Linked DNA regions of Callithrix jacchus. The protein of the gene in region 2 purifies or fractionates together with the protein of the main gene of each other region. This does not show direct contact. Links are inferred from orthologs where the notes say so. Each region holds a gene or a part of one and is shown on either strand. Other genes may lie near its edges.

Region 1 (2,852 bases), on a different chromosome or scaffold from region 2:
ACTGGTGGAGAGGGCTGTACTAGAGGAGGTGCAATTGGAGGAGGAGCTGGGTGAAGAACTCCAGGGGCAATCTGAAGAGGAGCTGGAGGTGGTGGTACTGCTGGAGCTTGCAAAGCAGTGGTTGGAGGTGGAGGTGGGGGAGGTACTGGAGGGGGAGGAGTTGAAGTCATTGAAGCTCTTAATGAGGAAGTTGACAAGGCAGATGGAAGAGGTGGTGGAGGAGGTGGGGGAGTAGGGCTCACAAACACAGGTGTTCTGCCTGTAGCTGGTGACTGAGGGCGATTTTCTATCAAACCTGTAGCAGAACTGAAATGACAAAGAGATTCTAGCAAGTTATTAAAAGAGAAAAGCCTAAAGAGAAAATCTAACCAAACAAACTATAAACAACTATCAATAATTATATCAGAATAGACCAATTAACATGCTCCTATAGAAATTTAACATTTTCAATAGTGTTTAGGAAAAAAAGAACTAAAAGCACATCAACAAAAAAAATAAATGAGTGGTGCTTTGGTTTGTAGTAGTCTAAATGGTCTCATTCTCTCAAGCAACTTTTGTATTCACTCAGACATTTTATGCTTACTTTGATAAATAAAATGCTCAATTCTATACTGATAGGAATCTCTGTAATGACTCAACATTGATCATAATGCAATTTTGTAGTAATACTTGTGGCCAATACAATGCTGTATTTATACTGAAGCTATTAAGTCTCATCATATGCTATTTCAGTTAAATCAATGACAGCTAATTACAAACCACAAAAAGAAATGTACAGCTCTCTTTCTTCCTAAGGATGGAACATCAAATGAGTCAGTGATAGAAAATTGAATTTTTAACTGAAAATTGTAAAGCTGATCTCTATTATCTCTACTAGAAAATTTCTCAAATATTTCTCCATTAGAAATTTATCATTTGGACAATAACTGACAAGATTAAACTTCAAAATAGCTTTACTGAGAGATTATTATGAGCAATTGCCAGTCCTCTCTAAAATTCTTTACGTATTTTTCTTACTACCAAATTAGTATTAATAATCACATCTTTGGTTCCCATTTCTTAGACCATTACCCATATTGCAAAAAATCCTTAATTTTTCTTAATACACTGCACATGATATGCTTGATAACAACATTATCATAAAATGAAACAGATTTTAAATTCTTATTAGCTAAATTTTCTTATGAGAATGTGTCAGCTCTAATCAGAATATCGCAAATAACGTCCCATAGACCAAATCTGACCTGCTCCCTGTTTTTATAAATAGAATTTAGAAGCAGACACATTCATTTGTTTATGTAGTCTATGGTGGATTTCGTGCAACAATAGCAGAATTTAGTACTTGTGACAGAAACTGTAAGACCTGAAAGCCAAAAATATTATCTTGTCCTTTAAAGAAAAAGGTTCCTGAGTCCTAAGGTAAAACATCATATGCTTTTTCCGACGTACCTGATACAGGTGGGTATGGGTTTCGCATCTCCCGCTCCATGCATTGGTGGAGGAGGAGGTGGTTCATGTGGTCTGACTAATACCCTTTCCTCGGCTCTAGTCAGAAGCTCACTCATCTGACTAAATGGCAAGGCAGAAAGTGAGTAAGATCCATCCATATGATCCACATATGTCTGAGGTCTAAAAGAAATATACAGTATCAGTGAATTTTCCTTGAATTATTGGGGTGAAAAGTGTTTTACATGAGCTATCAAATATTTAAAGTTTATCCTTTCAATGCCAATATTTTAACTATTTTTAAGAAACTTTTAGAAATGTATTATATTAATCCTGCTTTTAAAACAAAGAAAGCTGCTGGCAATGTAACCTACTTGTTGATTTAGAGATTTATTATGATGACCATCAGTTATTTTATTATTTTATAACAGAATACTAATTCAATTCACAGGATGAAAAGTATTACGTATATAATCTAATAAACAAGAAAATAATTAACTTTTAGCAAATTTAGAAAGCTATCTGCCTGTATTTCAGTTTTTTTCTTTACAAGAATATCCAATGACAAAAAGGTAGAATAGGAAAACGAGTTTTCTTCTACTAGTATATCTCGGTGTACTCTTAAAACTTAAATGACTTTCAAAAGTCTTGCACCAGAAAGGTCCCCCTGATATTAGCACCACAGAGGAGGCTAGCTATATTGTTTCTGTCCTTCTGCTGTTTTCAAAGGTACTAGGGTACTCAGAAAATAGCTGAGTAACACAGCAACATGTGACTTAGATGTAAGCAAAATTTTAGACACCTCGAACATGTTAAGATTTACAAATATTTACTGGGAACATGTTCCCAAACATTCTGGGAACAAAGTTGGATTTAACAGATGTGCACAGAGCAAGTCAGAAATTACTGCATTTAGTGGGTCAGATAAATATCTTAATAATCAACTGTAGTAGAAATAAATATGTCTATTTATTAATTTTTTAATGTCAATTATTTCAGTAATACAAATAAATAGTATCTCTCAAATGTATATTTCTCCTAAAATAGGTCAAGTTGTTTCACACTTATGGCCCAGTAATTTACATGTATATTACTTAAAAGAAAACCTTAAGTTATTTTCCATTAAAAAAATCATATGATTAGGCCAGGCACGGTGGCTCATGCATGCAATCCCAGCACTTTGGGAGGCCAAGGCAGGCAGATCACTTGAGGTCATGAGTTCAAGACCAGCCTGGCCAACATGGTGAGACCCCCCCCATCTCTACTAAAAATACAAAACTTAGCTAAGCATGGTGGCTGAGGCAGGAGAATTGCTTGAACCCGGGAGGCAAAGGTTGCAGTGAGCCAAAATCATGCCACTGCACTCCAGCCTGGGTGACAGAGTGAGACTCCAACTCAACAACAAC
Region 2 (3,656 bases):
TGAGGCCAGGAGTTCAAGATCAGCCTGGCCAACATGGTGAAACCCCATATCTACTAAAAGCACAAAAATTAGCCAGGTGTGGTGGTAAGCACCTGTAATCCCAGCTTCTCGGGAGGCTGAGGCAGGAGAATCGCTTGAACTGGGAGGCAGAGGTTGCAGTGAGCCAAGGCTGCACCATTGCACTCCAAGCCTGGGTGACAGTGCAAGACTCTGTCTCAAAAATAAATAAATAAATAAATAAAATGAACTGCTGATGAGCCAGGCACGGTGGCTTATACCTGTAATCCCAGCATTCTGGGAGGCTGAAGCTGAAGGATCATTTCAGCCCAAGAGTTTGAGACCAGCCAGGGTCTACAAAACCAGCTCTACAAAATTTTTTCAAGATTACCCAGGCATGGTGGTGCACATTTGTGGTCCCAGCTACTCGGGAGGCTGAGGCAGGAGAACTGTTTGAGCCCAGGTGTTCGAGGTTACAGTGAGCTCTGATGTCACCACCACACTCCAGCCTGGACAACAAAGTAAGACGTCCATCTCAAAAAACAAACCAACCCAATTATGTACCTAAGTAGCAAACTGCTAAAATCCAATTTAACTGAAAATTCCTAGCAGTAAATGGTATTTTGAAGTATTTCTTTCTGAGAGGATCATTCTATAACTTACATACATACTTTATATCCCCACCTACCTTTGCACGGACATTTTCAAATGATGCAGGACTCACAAGGGAAAAGCAAATTAAGAACACATCCTACAAAAAGGAAACACAGGGAAACATTTAGACAATGACCTTAGAACAAAGCATGCACTTTGTGTTCTAGATGTTGCTGGGAAGCACTTGTCAGGCAGAGAGCGTGTCTACTATACTAGGTATAGGCGGCTTGGTCAGACGCTCCCTGATCCACCCAATCCACCCTTTCAGTTTGTCAGAGGCTCCCAAACCAACCCAGCATGTCAAGCCACCAGTTACTTATGAAAATGGGGAGTGTGAAGGGAGAATGACATGGGAAGTTCTTCGAGGATAGGGAGGATCAGACCAGACCCCTGGGATGTTTCCTTTCTGCCTATCTAAACAGAAAAAAAATCAAGTATGAAGGTATGCCAACATTTCTGTAAAATCTGCTCTCCTGTTTCCCAAAAGCAGAGTTAATTTTAAAAACAGGATCTGCTGGGCATGGTGGCTCATGCCTGTGATCCCAGCACTTTGGGAGGCCAAGGTGAGTGGATCACAAAGTCAGGCGTTCAAGACCAGCCTGGCCAAGAGGGCAAAACCCTGTCTCTAAATACAAAAATTAGCCAGGCACGGTGGCAGGCACGTGTAATCCCAGCTACTTGGGAGGTTGAGGCAGGAGAATCACTTGAACCCGGGAGGCAGAAGTTGCAGTGAACCGAGATCAAGCCACTGCACTCCAGCCCGTGAGACAGAGCAAAACTCCATCTCCGTGAGACAGAGCAAAACTCCATCTCAAAAAAATAAAATTAGGCTGGGCGCGGTGGCTCAAGCCTGTAATCCCAGCACTTTGGGAGGCCAAGGCACATGGATCACGAGGTCAACATGGTGAAACCCCGTCTCTACTAAAGATACAAAAAATTAGCTGGGCATGGTGGCGCATGCCTGTAATCCCAGCTACTCAGGAGGCTGAGGCGGGAGAATTGCCTGCACCCAGGAGGCGGAGGTTGTGGTGAGCCGAGATTGAGCGCCATTGCACTCCAGCCTGGGTAACAAGAGCGAAACTCCGTCTCAAAAAAAATAAATAAAATAAAATAAAATTTTAAAATAATAATAATAATACAGAATCTACAAAAAAAATCAGGCTCCCCACTGGCATGTCAAGTACAAATGTTTTTAGGTGGTCAATGGTTCAATTCAACTCCTTTGGGAGGTGGCCTGTCACAGTTTCCAGCACCAAGTGGAGGCTCTAATATTTGCTACTCGGGTCCTTCCCTCCACAAGGAAGGAGAGCTTAGTGTGTAACTGGCACCTTCACAGCTGAAAACCATGCTCACACTGCCCTAGTGTCAGCACAGCCAGGGCCTCTGGAGAACTCGCCCCCAGGGCAGCTGTGGCTAAAGCAGAGGCATGAAGAGTGGATGCAGAGGACACAGTGCAGAGTGCTTCTGACCTCCATTCTGTACTTTGTGTCAAATCAAATTCAAATATTTACCTACAAGTAAATTTAAAAACGCCTAAGAATTTCTAAAATGCTAGATTGATCAAATATTCTCCTGGAAAAAGGCAATTATGCTACTTTACGAAATGCATACAATTCCCAAGCCACACTTTCAACCATCCAGCTTTACCTCGTACCTGAAAGGGAAAGAAACATCCCACACAACAGCTTTTTATAACTGGCATTTGAAGAATGCTGGCGCATGCACAAGCTCATCCAAGAATCACCACAGCACCCGGCACACCATCTCAAGCATGGTGGGGTTAGTTAGCTCAGCAGCACCGCACAGCTGCGCCCAGACAGCCCGACCACACGGGACACCGAAGCGGAGAAAGAAGGCCCTGGCAACAAGGTTAGTCCTGCTCTGGCTGCTTCTAAGAGGAGTCTCCACATCTGCATCTCCAACCAGCCAGGAGAGGGGCCCTCTCACCCACTCCTCCTTTCACTTGGGAGGAGGGAAAGATCGCAGTTCACAAACTGCTTTAATTCAAGCCGCTAGGTAAACTGTCACATTCTAATGAAGCTTAGTTCATCAAGCAAAACCCCAACCTTGAGTGAATTAAATATAAAACAATCAAGGAACTTGGGGCTTAATAAGAAATCCTAGGAAAAAGAAGTGAAATGAGAAAACAGAGAAAGCTTGAAACTGAAGTGGACTAAAGTTTTACATACGGCAATCGGCTTGTCTTTGCCCCGGGAGGTTATATCCTTACCGTACGTTTCTCCAACCTAGTAATGCATGAGAACTTGGTTTGAGTTTAGTACAGACTGAGGAAAATAAAAACCAACATACCTCTTACTGATTCATTATTAGAATTGTCTTAATCCTCTGGAGGGATCCAAAAGCATATAATAATCTAACACATCTTCGATGACAAATGCCACCGAAACACTCCATGCTACCTGGTCAAAAGCAGGCATAAGTTCAACAGTGGCTAAGACAGAAGTCAGGCAGATCCTGAGGGGTGCAACAACGTGCTCCTTCTCCCACGGCAGCATCCACCAGACTCTACAACAGCCCACACAGCCAGAGAGGGTTAGCACTGTCCCTTAATGCAAAGGCAGGCAGGAGCCACAGGCACATCTTTCAAGTGCTCCATTGAGTTCTCAGACACAGCCTAGCGGAAGCCACAGCAAACAGAAAAGGTACCTGTCTGTAAATGATGTCTACCCTACAAAGGGTTTCCCCCAGAACATAGCCAGGCCTCAGGGCTGACAATTTTAATGCTGCCAGATCATTTCAAGTCTCCTATGCAGAAATGTTCCTATCTTCCAACTAGTTCTGGAAGTGTGGTTTGAATTCACAGACTTGCATTATCAAAATCAACACTGTTGCTGACACTAAGACCTCCAATTCAGGGCCCCTTTGCAGGTCTGGGGGAAGCCACGCCTTAAAGACAAGTTTTTTTGTTTTTTGAAATGGAGTCTGGCTCTGTTGCCCAGGCTGGAGTGCGATGGCACAATCTCGGCTCACTGCAACCTCCACCA

What was found. Proteins that work in one complex are often made in the same cells at the same time.
Region 1: the proteins of RAC1 (region 2) and WASF1 purify together in Homo sapiens (affinity purification with western blotting; 3 studies listed by BioGRID and IntAct, with this or other methods). This does not show direct contact. The link is inferred for Callithrix jacchus from reciprocal best matches to the Homo sapiens genes RAC1 and WASF1.

Annotation. Positions count from the first base shown.
Region 1 is NC_133505.1:116,273,816-116,276,667, forward strand, and holds part of WASF1 (actin-binding protein WASF1), read right to left. Parts: intron 1,630-2,852; coding exon 1,450-1,629; intron 307-1,449; coding exon 1-306.
Region 2 is NC_133503.1:16,135,013-16,138,668, reverse strand, and holds part of RAC1 (ras-related C3 botulinum toxin substrate 1), read right to left. Parts: intron 2,898-3,656; coding exon 2,841-2,897; intron 749-2,840; coding exon 686-748; intron 1-685. UniProt on the Homo sapiens protein: Plasma membrane-associated small GTPase which cycles between active GTP-bound and inactive GDP-bound states.